2 linked regions of the Xenopus tropicalis genome follow. The protein of the gene in region 2 interacts with the protein of the main gene of each other region in a pairwise test. Links are inferred from orthologs where the notes say so. Each region holds a gene or a part of one and is shown on either strand. Other genes may lie near its edges. The genes, in order: nr0b2 and rxra.

What was found.
Region 1: the proteins of rxra (region 2) and nr0b2 interact in a two-hybrid assay, tested with the Homo sapiens proteins (2 studies listed by BioGRID and IntAct). The link is inferred for Xenopus tropicalis from reciprocal best matches to the Homo sapiens genes RXRA and NR0B2.

Annotation. Positions count from the first base shown.
Region 1 is NC_030681.2:89,460,838-89,471,242, forward strand, and holds nr0b2 (nuclear receptor subfamily 0 group B member 2), read right to left. Parts: upstream 6,832-10,405; 5' UTR 5,807-6,831; coding exon 5,209-5,806; intron 1,711-5,208; coding exon 1,469-1,710; 3' UTR 21-1,468; downstream 1-20. UniProt on the Homo sapiens protein: Transcriptional regulator that acts as a negative regulator of receptor-dependent signaling pathways. Specifically inhibits transactivation of the nuclear receptor with which it interacts.
Region 2 is NC_030684.2:8,059,744-8,070,052, forward strand, and holds the start of rxra (retinoic acid receptor RXR-alpha), read right to left. Parts: upstream 6,655-10,309; 5' UTR 6,342-6,654; coding exon 6,314-6,341; intron 1-6,313. UniProt on the Homo sapiens protein: Receptor for retinoic acid that acts as a transcription factor.

The sequences.
Region 1 (10,405 bases), on a different chromosome or scaffold from region 2:
AAAATGACAAATACACAATGTATCTTTAAAGAATACATTTATTTTGTTTTCCACTGAAGAAAAGTGACTATTTGCAACCAAAAAAAAATAAATAAATATTAAATTTCAACAGTAAACCAGTGTATAGATTAAGTGCTACACTTACATTTAACCTAGTGAGACTTGACTCATATCAAAATTGTTTTCAGTCACCCAAAGAACAATAAAACAAAAGTATCATTTTTTCTGTATTTTCTTTTCTTTATGGCAAGTATCTTTAACCTATTATGAATAATAACTAATACCACTGTTTTCTTGTTTTTGTTTGTATCTAAGAAAGCTTCTCAATAAACAAGGCTTTAAAATATCTCTCCAGCACCTTAAAGTGTATTTGGCACAAGTTAAAATATCTGGGATTGCAGACAACTTCAGTATTGTCAATATGGATGTCAACATCTTCCAGTTATAACTTGTTGTGTGCCATAAGCCACGTGACAAATGATGTGGAAAACGACTTAATAATTGTCACCTGATCATTTGCAAACTGTTTTACAATTTGCTCAATTCAAAGTGTATATAGGTGGCGTTTAAAGAAAACAAAAGCTGAAATATACAGTTCTATTGAGTAAATATGTTTTGTAACACAAATGTGTGTCATGTGTGACTTTTTGTACTCTTGTAAAAAAGTCACACATGACACACATTTGTGTTACAAAACATATTTACTCAATAGAACTGTATATTTCAGCTATTGGTGGTCCCACTCACACGAGAGAAGCTATTGTGTATATACTGTAGAACAAACAAGAATAGTCATAAAGGAACCAGAGAACATTATAACAAGGATTTCAAATAATGTAGTGCAATGCATGAAAATACATAGAAGCAACATGTACTTTAGTTATAATTTTCATTTATGTAGTCTGTATATAGTGTAGGGATAAACCAAACCCACTATTTTGAGATTCAGCCGAACCATGAATCATTTGTGAATGATTCAGCCAAATACTGAACCGAATCCTAATTTGCATATGCACACTAAGGCATAGAAAAAACGCACAAAATTTTCCCAACTTCCATGTTTGTGGCAAAAATTCACATGATTTTAAGGATTCAGATTCGGCTCAGTCAGGACTATGGATTTGGCCAAATCCTGCCAAAAAAGTCTGAATCTCAGCCAAATGCCAAACCGAATCCTGGATTTGGTGTATCCCTAATATAGTGACAAACAAATATAAGGAGTATAACTGTGGTCACGTTGCAGAAAGCATTTCTTCCTATGTAAGTGTCATTTCATTAACTCATTGAGTAATGTCACAGTATCATTCCGGAAAGGCTGATCCACTGTATGTAAACTCTTTATTGGCATTAAGGGAAGCTTTCACCACAGCATTCTTTTTCAAATGATATTAGCTATAAGTTATTATGGTTTCCATAACTTGCTGTTGCAGTTCTGGAGACATTTATACATGTCACAATAGTAGGTTTTTTATTTTACAAATAATGTTTCCAGCAAAAGTTCTTCCACATTTATCTCACCAGAGATGGGACTGAAAAAAAGTTTTGTGATCACTAAGGGGTTAACTTCTTTTACAGTGTCAAGTGCTTGAAGCATCCAGTTGAAGCGAGCAAGGCTCTGACTGTGCATCATTGAGATAAATTCCATTAGTGTATGCTGGGCTTCCAGCTGCAGAGTGTGAACATAGTGAGGGAATGTCATGCCACTGATATCTGTGAAACAAAAAGACAATTGCGTGTGAAGTGTATTATTTAACTATTAAAATAAAACATTTTTAAAAAAATGTCACGTGGGTTAAGCAAAGTTTTCATAGTACACAATAACTATTAAATCAAAAGTTAGCACACAAGGATCAAAGAAGTAAGAAATATATAGGGATTAAAGACAATACACCTTTTTTCCTTTTTTGGCATTAGGGGCTCATTTACTAGCCATCTATTTTTAATTTTAAACTCAATTTGATTTTTAAAAAAAAATTGCAGAGAAAAAATGCTTTTTACTATACGTTTAAACAGCTAAAAATATGAATTTGACAATTTGCCAGATTAAACTCACAGAGTTTAAGTAGAAGTCATTGGCAAAGGTCCCTTCCCTTGAAGTTCTTTCTCGAAGATTTTGCTGGGTTTTCTCTGAAATTCACGACTTTTTAGAATTCTCACAGCAACAATTTTCTAAAGTTGGAATTTTCGCGGCAAAAAGTTGAACAAGTCGAGTTTTTTTTTTACAACTTTTCTCTGAGTGACTTTTTTTTAGTAAATATCAGACATTTGGGAAGACTAATTTGGTCAAATTTGAAAATAAAAAAAATGAGAAATTATGGAGTTTTAGTAAATCTGGCCTTAAGTATTGTATATAAATAAAATCCTTCACTAACAATGCTGTTTCTTAGTAGTAAAATGGGAACTAGGACTGTGTTATGACTGAATGCCCATTGGCCTACATTTAAAAGATGTTACAGGTATGGACACTGTTACCCAGAATGCTCAGGACCTGAGGTTTGCAGGCCTTTCTGTATTTTGGATGTCCATATGGTATGTCTACTAAAAAAAATTATTGAATCATTAAATAAACCCAATAGGATTGTTTTGTCTGTAATTATATATAATAATAATATCTTAGTTGGGATCAAGTACAAGGTACTGTTTTATTATTACAGAGAAAAAGGAAATCATTTTTTAAAAAATGAATTATTTGATTAAAATGCAATCTATAGGAGATGGCCTTCCTGTAATTCAGAGCTTTCTGGATAATGGGTAATAGATCCCATACCTGTACGATATTGCTTTTGATTTCTGGTTTTTTTTTTTAAAGTTTGCTATACAATTCATACCTCTGTTTTGGGGATGGAAAAGCATTGGGAAAATGTTCTTTCAACTTTCCAATAACTTTAGCTACAATTAGATTTTAAAATTGTTACTGGATCCTAAATGACATCATGCTTCCTTTACTTTTCACAGAACAGTGGAAAGTTTCCATAACTTATATTAATATATAAAAGTTTTCAGTACTGATAATAAAACCATTTGTAGAGGAAAATAATACAGGCCTTCCTTAATCCTTGGGATTAATATAAAAGGAAGTAGTAATTAATATTAATACTAGTTCCCAGCTGGATGCTTTAAACTGCACGTAGACATGAAAGTAATGTCAAAGAGCTCACTTTCTAAAAGAGGATATATACAAAGAGAAATCAGGCTGCATTATCAGTAAGCATGATAGGAAGTTCCATATAATAAATGAAATTTATTTTATGACTATGCTCCTGCTGAACCCAGATAAAAAAAGAAACTCCTGGCTCTACCAGTCTCCTTCACTTGCAGTTTGTCAAGGTTATAATACAAATAAATGGATTATGCAGTAGTCACACAATGTGACGTAAGCTCATTTTTAAGGGATCTGTTCAAACATTAAGCACTGTACGGCCAGGGCCCCCGGAGAGCTACAGAGTGAGGCAAAGGCTTGAAGATTCTTCCATTAGAGAGTGCACTCTAGAGTGTAGAGCGTTCACAGTCCAGGCAGCAGCTCCAAGCATTTACTTTACAGAACTCTGTGTGAGTAAGCCTATACAGTGGTACTGAAAACACTGGAATAGCCCAAACTATTTAATTCCTATTTAAGTAGCTATTCAGATGATTTCCAAGCTTCATAACACATTCATGCTATATAAATAAAAACTAAAGAAGAGAAGCCTTAAAAAAGGTCAATACAAGCCTAAGAATGATTAGCTCTGAAATGGGAACTATTACAAAAATGAAAATTTAATTTGTGTTTTATGTCATGGAAGTAAGAAACTTTCGAAAGATAATCAATAATGACACCGACTGCTAAGAGGAGGATAATGAAGTGTAATTTGATTATTTCAGAAATAGGTACAGAATTTTAAATTGATTATTCTTAGAATATTTATTATTTCCATGAGATGAAGCTTAACTACATTTTGAGTATGTGAAAGTTCCCCTATTACTAGTTACTTATAGTTATATCCAGTAGCTTGACCGAACCATTGAAAGATTGAACCTAAAGCCAGTTCGACATCCTATTATATATATTCAGTAGAGGCTACTCCTTTAGCTTAGAGCAGCGGTTCTCAACCTGTGGGTCGGGACCCCTTTGGGGGTCGAACGACCTTTTCACAGGGGTCGCCTAAGACATTCGGAAAACACATATTTCCAATGGTCTTAGGAATAATTTTATAGTCACCACAACATGAGGAACTGTATTAAAGGGTTGCGGCATTAGGAAGGTTGAGAACCACTGGTTTAGAGGAATTTTCATTTGAATTTTAAGCAGCGTAGGTTGTTCTTTAAGGTGAGGGCAGTGAGGTTGTGAAATGTCCTGCCAGGTGATGTTGTGATGGCAGATTCTGTTACTGCCTTGGGGCTTGGATGATTTTCCACATTAGCTTAATATCAAAGTTTATTTTGATACTATAAATCTAGAATTAGTATAGATATTGTTATATATTGTTTATATATGTGAGTGTATATATAGGTCTGTATAAGTATGTGTTCACTTAAAACACTTCAAATTTGGTTATAAATCGCAGTATATTTAACCACCAGGCACTGGTGATAGAGGTGAGAATAATGGAGGCCAAAACTAAAAGATAAGTCATTTTTTAAAAATATATATTTCTCACTCTTTAAGCGTTTAAAAGAAAATTTCTGAAGTGAGCAAGGGTTACCATGGACAGGGGCAGAAGTGAGCCCAAAAAAACAGATGCACAAGACATAGACTTTCTGAACATCTCTTTAAAGGGGTGGTTCACCTTTTAGTTAACTTTTAGTATGTTATAGAATGGCCAATTCTAAGCAACTTTTCAATTGCCCTTTATTTTTTCTTTGTTTATCTTATTCTTCTGAATATTTCCAGCTTTCAAATGGGTGTCCCAGACCCCATCTAAAAAACGAATGCTCTTTAAGGCTACAAATTTATTGTTATTGCTACATTTTATCACTAACCTTTCTATTCAGACCCTCACCTACTGTATTTGTATTCCAGTCTTTCATTCAAATAAGTGCAGGGTTGCTAGGGTAATTTGGGCCCTGGCAACCAGACTGCTGAAATGGCAAACTGGAAAGCTGCAAAATAAGAAGCCAAATAACTCCAAAAAACCACAAACAATAAAAAATAAAGACCAATTTCAAATTGTTTTAGAATATCACTCTCTACATCATACTAAAAGTAAATTTAAATGTGAACCATCTTACCTGGGTTGAACAGAAGCATCCCTTTGAGGTAAGCATATTCCTTTGTGCTGATGTCTAAGTTCCAGAGTTTGTATAGAAACCGCTGAATTCTTTGAACTTCTATTGCTGGAACTCCTCTATCAGATCTCAGTGCAATGTCACTGACATTCGCATACTGATTTAGAAGAATTTTCTTTAATAAACTGGGAACAGAATGTTCTTGTAGTTCAAAATTCACCCTTTCCTGGGCAAGACCTAAAACAAAAAGTGGAGCCCAGCAGTTCTGTACAAGAAGAATCTGATCCTCCTGGGGCAGCTGATAGAAGGATGGTACATTTCTAATGAATGCCACAGTTTTTAGTAGTACTTCTGATGCTGTCTTGCAAGTCACCTCAGGGTTCTTCAGAGACACTCTTCTGTTGCCTTCACAAGGGCATTCTCTAGCCAAGGAGCAGATGTGACTGCGGTTGTCATTTGGGCTCTTAGTCTCTGAATGAATCCCTTTGTTAAGCATCTGAAAAAGAATACTGTTAACTGGATCTCTGTTACAGTGACATTTTCCTAACTTTTCAGATATGCAAGCCATTTCCGTGTTGCATACACTGGGGGATAAACACATGAGCCGATATACAGTGCCTCACACATAAAGAAAAGCAGTAGTTCTGCCAAACTAGTAGGTGATTGGATCTTTTATATACTCAGCAAGTTGAACAGTAATGTGACTGCGTGTGCTAAAATTCCCTTGAACTTTATTCCTACTAGACTGTTTTCATTCACAACTGAGCAAGGCGTGGTTTAGCCCACAGTATCTAAAGGAGCTGGAATTATCTGAATGAGGGAGCTGGTTACTGATAGGAACTGAACAATGAGTAAAGTGTTGTTTACCGTTCCCTGTCACTGTGATATGGTGGAAAGCAGTGCCATGATATCAAGGACACTTACCAAGCTGCCAACTGTGATACATTTACAGTGGCAATTCTATGTTTTTAGCTTGTCCTTGAAAAATCACAATATAAAATTTAATTTGACACGATAAAGCCATTTATCAGCTTTTTTTTTAAAACAGCACAGAATGACTTTATTTGAAGGGTGCATTCACTTACCTAGATGCAGTGTGCAAAGTGCACCGCCATATTTGTTTCCCACAGTGCGCAAACAGCGATTCTCTTGATGCAGTTGTGCTGTGCCTATTGGTTCAGAGCACTGAAGAATCCTGAAGCTAATGCCTTGTCAGGAGGTGGCAGTAGCTCCAGGGTTCCCCTGCGTCAATAGGCACAGCAGCGCCTTCTAGGTAGGAATCAGGCGGGGGCAAGAATTGACAGACAAGTGCAGGAGGGGGCAGGGAATGCGTCATAGTGTAGGGATGACGTGTAGGGATGACACGTGGTCGGGAAGGGTACGTTTGCTACTCTGTGCTGTGCCCTTCTAACGATTTTTGTTTTGCAGGGGGCCTAGCACAGAGTACTTACACCACTAGATTTAAAAATGCTTTTCTTCCTGAAGCTTGCAATATCAGCATGATTACACACTCCTACATGCATTGATACTGTAGCCTCAGAAACTAAAAATAACCTCTTCAGTCCATTCTTATCAGGTTGTTTAATACTTGTTAACCCTTTCACTGCCAGCCGTTTTTGACAAAGTGGAACTTCTACTGCCATACAGTTTTTGAACATTTTGCACTGTTTCACTTTAGGGGCCTTTCCTCGGGAAAACAATATATTGTTTTTTTCAGGATGGCTAAAATATGGTAGAATTTTTGTGTAATTCCGATTCTGTAACAAGATATAGGCTTCTAAATGTCTAAAAAATGAAAAAAAAATATTTTCCATAATATAAACACATACACCAGAAACAAAAAGTATTTTATGCATGAAAATACAACTGATTTGGAAAGTCCCATGTCTCCTGAACGTGCCAATACCAAATATATATAGTTTTATGGAGATTTCTCAGTTGTATACTGTAGGTCAAAAACTCCCAGCAGTACACTACCAAATTTCCAAAGCACTGCTCCAGAAAGCTGAATACTTTTTAGTATTTAAGGCCAAAATTCCACTAACAGAAGGTTTATCCCAGAAAACTATACATTTTTAGAAAGAACAGATTCTGGGGAATCCAGAATAGGCACAACTGTCTGTCTACTCCAAACTACCAAGTTGCAATGCTTTCCTAAAGTTATTGTTTTTACAGTTTGATGTCCAATATGTATAGGTTTACCTAAGTATTTGGCATGTAGGGGCCCCAATGGGAACATACCCCCATATGATCAATCATTTGTCATTTCAGCTTCTGCAAAATCAACACTTACATCATTATATGTGGGATAAAGCTAGTAAAAAGTACATTCACCCCAGAAAATCATATATTTTTGGAAAGTACACATTCCCCCGAATCTAAAATGGGTACCCGTGTCTTCTACTCTAAAGTACCAAGCCGCAAAGCTTTCCTAAAGTTGGAAATTTTGAAAAAGCCACTCAAAGCTTCCAGTTTCCAGCATCTTATCTCCCACTTATCATTAGGTACCAAGAGGGGTCCAGGGGTCCACTGAACAGTTTGATGCCCAATATGTATAGGTTTACCTAAGTATGTGGCATATAGGGGCCCCAATGTGAACATACCCCCATATGATCTATCATTTCAGCTTCTGCAAAATCAACACATTTACATCATTATATGTGGGATAACGCTAGTAAAACATATGCTCACCCCAGAAAGTCATATATTTTTGGAAAGTACACTTTCCCCCGAATCTAAAATGGGTACCCATGTCTTTCTACTCCAAAGTACCAAGCCGCGAAGCTTTCCTAAGTTTGACGATTTTTATGGCATTTCCAAAAATCACCTCAAGTGATTTTCCCTCAAATAGGAACACCATAGGTCTACTGAACAGTTTGATGCCCAATATGCATAGATATACCAAAGTCTGTGGTGTGTACTGACCCCAAAAAGAAAATAGTGCATAAGGATTTCTCGCCAACTCAGCTTTTGCACACAGAGCCCCCTGACAGCATATTATGTGCCGTATCACCCCCTAACTATACAGAGACCCCCAGAAAACCTTATATTTTTGGAAAGTACACATTCTGACAAATCTAACATGAGTAAAGAGTCCTTTCTACACCAAAGTACCAATCTGCAAAGCTTTCCTAAAGTTAGTGGTTTTATGACATTTGAGAAAATCGCATAAAAATGTTGCAGTTTGCTGCATTTATCTCACACAATTTCTTGCATACAAAGGCAATTCACCCCAAATAGGAACACCTAAGGTCAACTGAACAGTTTGATGCCCAATATGCATAGATATACCAAAGTCTGTGGTGTGTACTGAACCCAAAATTAAAATAGCGCATATGGATTTCTCGCCTGCCAACTCAGCTTTTGCACACAGAGCCCCCTGACAGCGTATTATGTGCCGTAACCCCCCCTAACTATACAGAGACAAAGTTATTTTTGTACACCAAAGTTACACATGGCAAAGCTATGCTAAAATCAGATCAGGAACACTAATATAGGGATAAAAATGCAATAAAACCACAAAAATTATGCAAATCAATGAAACAACAAAATAAGTCACATGACAGCATAATTAGTGGTCAAAATATCTGATCCAATAGTCACGCTGTAAAAATAAACAGTTTAAAGGGCATTTATCATGTGTATGTGCCTATAAATAGAGGTTGCCATAGGTGGAAGCAGGACATAGCAAGGTTGCAGGCATGGAGGACTGAAGAAAGAGCTCAACCAGAACCTGCCCGGGACCCCAAGTCTTGTGTGGATGTTCACCACACCCGACCCATGGGTTTCAGGCCAACATGTACATCATCACAGCACAGAAATGCATTACTGTTACATTTTGCTTCATTAACTAACATTTCTCAGCAGCATCTGTGAAAAGTAGACAACTGTTGTATCCAGGGCTGCCATTAGAAATCATGGGCCCCTCAGAACAAAATTTTCTTGCCCCCCCTCCCCTTGGTACAAAGCCAGGGCCCCCTATAAGTTATAAATACAAATCATTGGTGGCCAGGGGCCCCTTCAAATTGTAAATAAAAAATCATTGGTGGCCAGAGCCCCCTAAAACAGATGGTGGCCAGGGCCCCCTAAACCAATGGTGCCCAGGGCCCCCTAAACTCATGGTGGCCAGAGCTCCCTAAACTGTTGGTGACCAGGGCTCCCTAAACTGTTGGTGGCCAGGAGGTAGTATTGGTGGCCAGGGGGTAGCATTGGTGGTCAGGGCAGGGCCTAAGAACATTGGTGTTCAGTGTAACGTCTTCCTTCTCTGGCATCCTCTTCCTTCTTTGGCTCTTCCGTCTTCTTCTTCAGCGACTCCTCTGGCGGCATTGGTTTCTCCAGCGAGATGCTCCCCCGAAGACACCTCTTCACTTCTGTCTCCATGCTACAGGAGACAGGCCCTCTTACAAGGTTGTGCCTCGTGCGTACTGACATCACACGTATGCATGGGGCACAACCAACCGGATTAGCTGCTCACCGCCAATAAAATTTAACATGCCCAATGTTAAAGAGGACAGGGCCTGTATTTGATTAAAGGGGGCTCCAGCTAATAAGTGTAGCATGGCTGGGCCCCCTTAAGAGTCAAAATCCTCCTGGACAACTGCCCCCCTGATGGCGGCCCTGATTGTATCAGTTATAACAACTGACTTTAAGGCTTTTGCACACACATCAGGTTCCATTTCACCTGTGTTTGTTTTTTGCCACATTAATTGCAATAGAAACACTAGCAAAAGCTTGTGTATAAGAACCCTTAATGCAACTAAGGGATTATGCTCACATTATACTTACATAAGACTTGTATCAATCAAATTAGAATACTTTACAGAGTTGGTGATCCCCCACCTGGACTACACCAGGGAGACATAAGAAAATGAAAAGCAAAACTTCAATATTAGAAAAATGCTCACAAACATAAAATACAAACCAACTGAAAAAAAAGTTTTTACCCCCGGTGAACTATCTGAAACCAATAAACTGAAAAAAGTGTGTGGAAGTAGTGTGTGGAACAACCCCTTTACATGTGTCATTATATAGATGCCCCCATGACACCTAGGCGTGCCTAGACAGTTCCAAAGCTGACCTGGCTGAATGAATCAGCTCTGACAGATTATAGTGTCTCTTCAGTAGAACAATTCCTTTAACCCTGTAACCATTGTGTGCTGCCAGTAATCTTATGAATTCTCCTTTCGCTCTTACTAATACA
Region 2 (10,309 bases):
AGATAGATAGATAGACGGATAGATAGATAGATGGATAGATAGATAGATAGATAGACGGATAGATAGATAGACGGAGAGATAGATAGACAGACAGACAGACAGATAGATAGACGGATAGATAGATAGATAGATAGATAGATAGATAGACGGAGAGATAGATAGACGGAGAGATAGATAGATAGATAGATAGATAGATAGATAGAAGCCATTGCTTGTGTCCCATGTTTTCTCAGTTAGCAAGAAAAACACTTTTATCCAATTAGAATCAAGAACATGGCGCCGCTGCCCCGAGGGCTGTTCTGATCCCATCAGAGGCTCAGCGCCAAGGAACCGTGCAGCAGCAGCCGCCAATCACTGACACGGCTCTGAGAAGAGGCCACGGCGGCCAACGTCCCCGGTCTGACTCTCGTGCCCAATAGTACCGGTAACCCCTCAGCATGCAGCCTATCCCTTTAAATGAGAAAACCTCTCCTTTTTCTGTTCTCCGGAGTCACAAGACTCCGCTTTAACCACCAAACCGCACCTCTTCCTGGTGACACGAAGCCTCTGCATTTTGTGCCATTTGCCCAGAAACTGGCCCGTTGGGCCCGACCCGTTCCCCTAGCCGACAGCAATGATTTTAGCTGTTCCCATGGAATGCTGGGAGTTGTAGTTCCCATACACGCCAAGGGTCATGCCCGCTGTCACTGAGTTCCCAGGGAATGCTGGGATTTGTAGTTCCCATACATGCCAAGGGCCATGCCCGCTGTCACTGAGTTCCCAGGGAATGCTGGGATTTGTAGTTCCCATTACATGCCAAGGGCCATGCCTGCTGTCACTGAGTTCTATATTCTCTGGAGTCCAATAACAGCTGGAATGCACCAACTGCAGGGGGGGGGGGAATCTGAGCTGAGTTAGCTAAGGATGATGGGAGATGTAGTTCCCATTACATGCCAAGGGTCATGCCCGCTGTCACTGAGTTCCCAGGGAATGCTGGGATTTGTAGTTCCCATACATGCCAAGGGCCATGCCCGCTGTCACTGAGTTCCCAGGGAATGCTGGGATTTGTAGTTCCCATTACATGCCAAGGGCCATGCCTGCTGTCACTGAGTTCCCAAGGAATGCTGGGATTTGCAGTTCCCATACACGCCAAGGGTCATGCCCGCTGTCACTGAGTTCCCAGGGAATGCTGGGATTTGTAGTTCCCATACATGCCAAGGGTCATGCCTGCTGTCACTGAGTTCCCAGGGAATGCTGGGATTTGTAGTTCCCATACACGCCAAGGGCCATGCCTGCTGTCACTGAGTTCCCAGGGAATGCTGGGATTTGTAGTTCCCATACATGCCAAGGGCCATGCCCGCTGTCACTGAGTTCCCAGGGAATGCTGGGATTTGTAGTTCCCATACATGCCAAGGGCCATGCCTGCTGTCACTGAGTTCCCAAGGAATGCTGGGATTTGCAGTTCCCATACACGCCAAGGGTCATGCCCGCTGTCACTGAGTTCCCAGGGAATGCTGGGATTTGTAGTTCCCATACATGCCAAGGGTCATGCCTGCTGTCACTGAGTTCCCAGGGAATGCTGGGATTTGTAGTTCCCATACACGCCAAGGGCCATGCCTGCTGTCACTGAGTTCCCAAGGAATGCTGGGATTTGTAGTTCCCATACATGCCAAGGGTCATGCCCGCTGTCACTGAGGTCCAAGGGAATGCTGGGATTTGTAGTTCCCACTACACGCCAAGGGTCATGCCCGCTGTCACTGAGTTCCCAGGGAATGCTGGGATTTGTAGTTCCCATACATTCCAAGGGTCCTGCCCGCTGTCACTGAGTTCCCAGGGAATGCTGGGATTTGTAGTTCCCATACACGCCAAGGGTCATGCCCGCTGTCACTGAGTTCCCAGGGAATGCTGGGATTTGTAGTTCCCATACATTCCAAGGGTCCTGCCCGCTGTCACTGAGTTCCCAGGGAATGCTGGGAGTTGTAGTTCCCATTGCATGCCAAGGGTCATGCCCGCTGTCACTGAGTTCCCAGGGAATGCTGGGATTTGTAGTTCCCATACATTCCAAGGGTCATGCCCGCTGTCACTGAGTTCTATATTCTCTGGAGTCCAATAACAGCTGGAATAAACCAACTGCAGTGGGAGGGGGGGGATCCAAGCTGAGTTAGCTAAGGATGATGGGAGATGTAGTTTCACAAGGGCTACAATCCCCCCCAGCCAGACCATTGGATCTCTTACCCATCCCTATCAGACAAACGCATGCTGGCACACAGGGGATTTGCACACTCGCTCGCACACCATAGCAACAGTCAGATGAACGCACTAACGCAGCCGAGCGGACGGCGAGGACTGAAATCGCGTTGGCATTTCCTGTAGGGGGGGGAGCCTTCACATCGAGCCCCCAATGTGCCTTTCAGAACCAACTATAGGGTTCTATACTATACACATTCAGGGGCAAGGGGTTCTGCAGCAGCTGCACAGGCGCCCTAATAAACCATCAGCAATGAGGGGGTTAAACACTTCCACGACCCCCCCAGGGGGTTAAGCCAAGCTCAGAGCTGTGTCCGTCCATTCGCGACTACTGCAACTGTTAAACCTGCTCCTGGGGCCTGCGCCGAGCCCTGATTGGATGGCAGCGAGTTAAAGGGGAACTCAGCCCAAAAACTGTTTTATCACCTAATAAAAGACAAGCAGCTCCCCAATATCCATTATGTTATGTGTAACTGTCACTGTGTCTGTCCCTTTCCCTTCCCTGCACTGCTGGTTCTGACTCCTGATACAACTCCCCAATATCCATTCATTCCTCATTCTCACTGGGTTTATAGTTATGTGTAACTGTCACTGTGTCTGTCCCTTTCCCTTCCCTGCACTGCTGGTTCTGACTCCTGATACAACTCCCCAATATCCATTCATTCCTCATTCTCACTGGGTTTATAGTTATGTGTAACTGTCACTGTGTCTGTCCCTTTCCCTTCCCTGCACTGCTGGTTCTGACTCCTGATACAACTCCCCAATACCCATTCATTCCTCATTCTCACTGGGTTTATAGTTATGTGTAACTGTCACTGTGTCTGTCCCTTTCCCTTCTCTGCACTGCTGGTTCTGACTCCTGATACAACTCCCCAATATCCATTCATTCCTCATTCTCACTGGGTTTATAGTTATGTGTAACTGTCACTGTGTCTGTCCCTTTCCCTTCCCTGCACTGCTGGTTCTGACTCCTGATACAACTCCCCAATATCCATTCATTCCTCATTCTCACTGGGTTTATAGTTATGTGTAACTGTCACTGTGTCTGTCCCTTTCCCTTCTCTGCACTGCTGGTTCTGACTCCTGATACAACTCCCCAATATCCATTCATCCCTCATTCTCACTGGGTTTATAGTTATGTGTAACTGTCACTGTGTCTGTCCCTTTCCCTTCCCTGCACTGCTGGTTCTGACTCCTGATACAACTCCCCAATATCCATTCATCCCTCATTCTCACTGGGTTTATAGTTATGTGTAACTGTCAGTGTCTGTCCCTTTCCCTTCCCTGCACTGCTGGTTCTGACTCCTGATACAACTCCCCAATATCCATTCATCCCTCATTCTCACTGGGTTTATAGTTATGTGTAACTGTCACTGTGTCTGTCCCTTTCCCTTCCCTGCACTGCTGGTTCTGACTCCTGATACAACTCCCCAATATCCATTCATTCCTCATTCTCACTGGGTTTATAGTTATGTGTAACTGTCACTGTGTCTGTCCCTTTCCCTTCCCTGCACTGCTGGTTCTGACTCCTGATACAACTCCCCAATACCCATTCATCCCTCATTCTCACTGGGTTTATAGTTATGTGTAACTGTCACTGTGTCTGTCCCTTTCCCTTCCCTGCACTGCTGGTTCTGACTCCTGATACAACTCCCCAATATCCATTCATTCCTCATTCTCACTGGGTTTATAGTTATGTGTAACTGTCACTGTGTCTGTCCCTTTCCCTTCCCTGCACTGCTGGTTCTGACTCCTGATACAACTCCCCAATATCCATTCATTCCTCATTCTCACTGGGTTTATAGTTATGTGTAACTGTCACTGTGTCTGTCCCTTTCCCTTCCCTGCACTGCTGGTTCTGACTCCTGATACAACTCCCCAATACCCATTCATTCCTCATTCTCACTGGGTTTATAGTTATGTGTAACTGTCATTGCTATTGACTGTCAGTTTACTTTCTACTGAAACAATGTAGCAGAAGCAACTGACTGACAGACCAGGAGGGGGAACTGACTTCTGCTACATTGTTTCTCAAAGCCAGAACCAATCAAACATGAAGCTCCTGTGGCCCCTGCCTCCATTGCTTTATCGGGGCCCCTGGGGGGTGCAAGTAATAATATAAACATGACCCCGCCGGGCACCTGTAGGTGAGCTCTGTATGGGATCCCCCGCACCATTATCAGTAGGAATTACTGCACAACAAGTTGCCCGTGAACCTTGCCCCCTGGAGCTGCACTAGCCCCGCCCCCCTGTTCCTGCCCTGTGCCCCGCCGAGCCTTGGGTTGGCACAGGGTCCTGTTTAACCAGTCCAGTGCCCAGTCTGGTACCTGTACCCTCCAATGTCCCAATAAAGCACCAACAGGAGACACGGAGGGCTCCACCCCTGGCACCTACTGTGTCCATCAGTGCTGGGGCACCGGTGACCCCCCACCCCAATTAGGCAGTGTAATTATAGCCCAAAGGTACCCGGCCCAAAGCTAATTAATTGTACGTCATTCTGGTGCCCAGCAAAACACTTGAGGGACAAGAGCTTCTCAAGGAGAAGAGAAAATCTGGTGGGAAACTGTAGGGCGAGGAGGGGGCACCGACTGGCACCCCGTGGGAACCAGGTGCGCCAACAGGGGGGGTATTACAGTCAGTCGGGCAATGTTTGCCCCCAGTTCATTCCCAATAGCAGCCTGGTAACCGCACACTGGTTGCTGCGGGTAACTGAAGTGACTTGGTGCCAACGGCGGGCATTAATACTTTATTTACGGGAGACACGGATCCTTCCCGTCAAAGGAATTTAGCTTTTATTTATTTCATTCTCCGCTGCGCTGGGCAGGGGTCCTGGGGTATTAGGTCACTTGTGCCCTTGGCATTGCCCGTCACTAAATAAACAGACAGTACCGGTGTGAATACCCATGCGTTGTGGTGCCACCAGTGTGGCTTATCCCATAGGCAATAACAGTATGTATTTACATTGTGCCATCAATCACAATCAGGGGCATTTTCCTGCCAACGGGCAAGCGCCACCACCATTGAAACCGCCACCAGTGGCACCTTTTGGGCAATCTCTCTGCCAGACCCCCTTTAAAACCATAAGCATATACTGTATGCAGTATCCAATCAGCATGGCTACTTGGTTATGACTGTAAGATTCAGCATGGCGCAACGGAAATCGGTACAGTCGGCATGAATTTAATTAAATACTTCAATCGATGTCTCGGAAACACAGAAGGACCCAGAGTTGGCACTAAACGGGCACTGACGGGGGGGGAGATTATGGCTCCGTGCCCTTGGCTGCATCAGTAGGGTTAAGGGTTCAGCTTCCACCAATGAACTCACGGGTCACGGCACAGAAGGCATTATGGGTCCTTGTCCCAAATGCTTGCGATCAAATAAATCAGTGCGTCTCAGCTCGGGGCAGGGAAGTGGGTCTAAAAGCAGAGGGCCATGTCTACTAAGGTGTGCAGCTACCCCCCCCCCCCCCCCCCCCTGGCAGTAAGAGTGGCACAGCCTTTGATTAACCGGCCACAGGAGGATGCTGGGAACGGTAGTTTTACCATTTGCATAAGAATAGTTTAACCTCTCTGATGCCACCTTGGCAGATAAGGGGTTAAGAGCCATTCGCTGGCACTTGATACAATAGGAAGTTGCCCTTAGGGACAGTTACGGTATAATACCCCCCCCTTATATAACACCGATACATCCCGGGATCATAAACACCGAGGGCAGCAATTTCCCCTCTGCCCCCTCCTACTTTATGTAGTAGTAGTGACAGGGCAGGACCCCCCCCCCTGAACTTTTCTACCTGCTATAAACTACAACTCCCAGCATGCCCCAGCAGCCCAGGAGTCATAAGAGCAAGGAGCCTGGCATTGCTGCCCAATAACTTGTACCCATGTGTTTGTGCCCACTACCTGCTTGGCACTGCTGGGGGGGCTACCAGCCAAAGGGGGGGGTATGGAACTCTACAAGTGCATTGTGGGGGTTAAATGGCTGGAACAACAACACAAGGGGAGGCAGTGGGATGAGCAGGAGAGAGACAGATGCGGCAGTAGGTGCCCCCCACCCACAGCCCAGCACCCTGGCACCCAGTACTCACCCAGCGGCAGGAAATGCTTGGTGTCCATGGCTGGCTAACTCATGCCAAGCGCCTGGGGATGGGAAGAGGAGGCTGGGGGGCCCCGCAGTGATATCCTGTGCAGGAGAGCGATGGGCCGGCTGGGAGCAGGGGATCCGGGGGCCCCGGGGAGAGTCGGATCCAGCGGGGTCGGGGGCCCGGGCGGAGGAGTTTGCTGCAAACTCACCAACAATGTAAGGAAAGTAGTTGTCCTGCCTCCCCGCTCCAACTCCTCAGGCTGCAATGCAACGGGGCCCCGCCGAGGGGAGCAGCGACGGCCGAGCCCTCCGCCAGTGACACAGCGCAGAGGGGGGAGCCGGGATACGGGGACTGGGGAGAGAGGCGGAGCGGGGGCCCCCTAGGGGCGCTCAGGGGAAATGCGGCTCTACCCACAGAATCGCACCGAACTCTTTCCCACTCGCTAATTGCCCAGCAGCCTGGCACTTACCCTGGCACTTACCCTGGCACTCACACTGACTGGCACTTACCCTGGCACTCACACTGACTGGCACTCACACTGGCACTGACTGACACTCACACTGGCACTGACTGACACTCACACTGACTGGCACTCACACTGGCACTTACCCTGGCACTTACCCTGGCACTCACACTGACTGGCACTTACCCTGGCACTCACACTGACACTCATACTGGCACTCACATTGACACTCACACTGACTGGCACCCACACTGACACTCACACTGATTGGCACCCACACTGGCACTCACACTGACTGGCACTTACCCTGGCACTCACACTGACTGGCACTCACACTGGCACTTACCCTGGCACTTACCCTGGCACTCACACTGACTGGCACTTACCCTGGCACTCACACTGACACTCATACTGGCACTCACATTGACACTCACACTGACTGGCACCCACACTGACACTCACACTGACTGGCACTCACACTGACTGGCACTTACCCTGGCACTCACACTGACTGGCACTTACCCTGGCACTCACACTGACACTCATACTGGCACTCACATTGACACTCACACTGACTGGCACCCACACTGACACTCACACTGACTGGCACCCACACTGACACTCACACTGACTGGCACTCACACTGACTGGCACTTACCCTGGCACTCACACTGACTGGCACTTACCCTGGCACTCACACTGACTGGCACTCACACTGACTGGCACTTACCCTGGCACTCACACTGACTGGCACTCACACTGGCACTCACACTGACTGGCACTTACCCTGGCACTCACACTGACTGGCACTCACACTGGCACTTACCCTGGCACTCACACTGACTGGCACTTACACTGGCACTCACACTGACTGGCACTTACCCTGGCACTCACACTGACTGGCACTCACACTGGCACTTACCCTGGCACTCACACTGACTGGCACTTACACTGGCACTCACACTGGCACTTACCCTGGCACTCACACTGACTGGCACTCACACTGACTGGCACTCACACTGACTGGCACTCACACTGGCACTTACCGTGGCACTCACACTGACTGGCACTTACACTGGCACTCACACTGGCACTTACCCTGGCACTCACACTGACTGGCACTCACACTGGCACAGCCTGGCACTCATACTGACTGGCACTTACACTGGCACTCACACTGACTGGCACTTACCCTGGCACAGCCTGGCACTCATACTGACTGGCACTCACACTGGCACTGACTGGCACTCACACTGGCACTCACACTGATTGGCACTTACCCTGGCACTCACACTGACTGGCACTTACCGTGGCACTCACACTGACTGGCACTCACACTGGCACTTACCGTGGCACTCACACTGACTGGCACTTACACTGGCACTCACACTGACTGGCACTTACCCTGGCACTCACACTGACTGGCACTCACACTGACTGGCACTTACACTGGCACTCACACTGACTGGCACTTCCCCTGGCACTCACACTGACTGGCACTCACACTGGCACTTACCCTGGCACTCACACTGACTGGCACTCACACTGGCACTTACCGTGGCACTCACACTGACTGGCACTCACACTGGCACTTACCCTGGCACTCACACTGACTGGCACTCACACTGGCACAGCCTGGCACTCATACTGACTGGCACTCACACTGGCACTGACTGGCACTCACACTGGCACAGCCTGGCACTCATACTGACTGGCACTCACACTGGCACTGACTGGCACTCACACTGACTGGCACTCACACTGATTGACACTCACACTGGCACAGCCCAGCACTCACACTGGCACAGACTGGCACTCACACTGACTGGTACTCACACTGGCACAGCCTGGCACTCACACTGGCACAGCCTGGCACTCACACTGGAACAGCATCATGGCACTCACACTGGCACAGCCTGGCATTCACACTGGCACTGACTGGCACACACTGGCACAGCATAATGGCACTGGCACAGCCACTCATACTGACTGGCACTCACACTGGCACAGCCACTCACACTGACTGGCATTTACACTGGCACAGTATCATGGCACTTACACTGACTGGCACTCACTGGCACAGCATCATGGCACCCACACTGGCACAGTCTGACACTCACACTGGCACTCGCTAGCACAGCCTGGCACCCACACTGGCACAGCATCATGGCACTCACACTGGCACAGCATGGCACTCACACTGCCACAGTCTGGCACTGGCACAGCATGGCACTCACACTGGCACAGCCTGGCACTCACACTGGTACAGCATGGCACTCACACTGGCACAGCATCATGGCATCCACACTGGCACAGCATACCACTCACACTGGCACAGCATGGCACCCACACTGGCACAGCATGGCACAGGCACTCACACTGGTACAGCATGTCACTCACACTGACTGGCACTCACACTGGCACAGCATGGCCCCCACACTGGCACAGCCTGGCACTCACACTGGCAAAGGCACTCACACTGGTACAACATGGCACTCACACTGACTGGCACTCACACTGGCACAGCATGGCACAGGCACTCACACTGGTACAGCATGTCACTCACACTGACTGGCACTCACACTGGCACAGCATGTCACTCACACTGACTGGCACTCACACTGGCACAGCATGTCACTCACACTGACTGGCACTCACACTGGCACAGCCTGGCACTCACACTGGCAAAGGCACTCACACTGGTACAACATGGCACTCACACTGACTGGCACCCACACTGGCACAGCATACCACTCACACTAGCACAGCATGGCACCCACACTGGCACAGCAAGGCACTCACACTGACTGGCACTCACACTGGCACAGACTGGCACTCACACTGGCACACCATACCACTCACACTGGCACAGGCACTCACACTGGCACAGGCACTCACACTGGCACAGGCACTCACACTGGCACAGGCTCAGCCTAGTTCCCTCTGCCCAGCCCTCCAGCTGTTCTAAACTACAACTCCCAGCATTCCCCAGGGCCTGCGTGGTCCATAACAGCTGGAAAGGAGTTGGTTGGCACCTTTGGGGGGGGCTACTAGCCAAAGTGGGTCATGTGACTCCAGAAGGAGGAAAGTCATTGGACACAATAGGAGCTGCACCCTGGGATCGTTAGGGCCACAGGGCGAGTAGAGTTGGTGCCCAGGCAGAGCTGCCAGTCTATGGGAAAAAGGGCTGAATGCAATGGGGCCCCACAAAAGGCTGCAGCAATGGCCAACCCCGGGCATTACCCCCCCCCCAACCCACTGGCACTGACCCTCACCCCCCAACTCCCTGGCTAAGGATTCCCCCCCCCCCATCTCACTGCCACTGACTCCCTTCCAACCATTCCCCACCTACTGCCATTTAAACTTCTGCCCGTTGATAGGGGAAAGTGGGACCCTGGCAACCAGAGACCAATTGCAACTGACTATCCAGTCTGCGGCATGCTGAGAGTTAATTTAAAGGAGAACTAACCCTTTTGAAATTGTAGCAATAAAAAAGGAAAGTGATGTTATAATTTGGGCGACAGGTTGAACCTGAT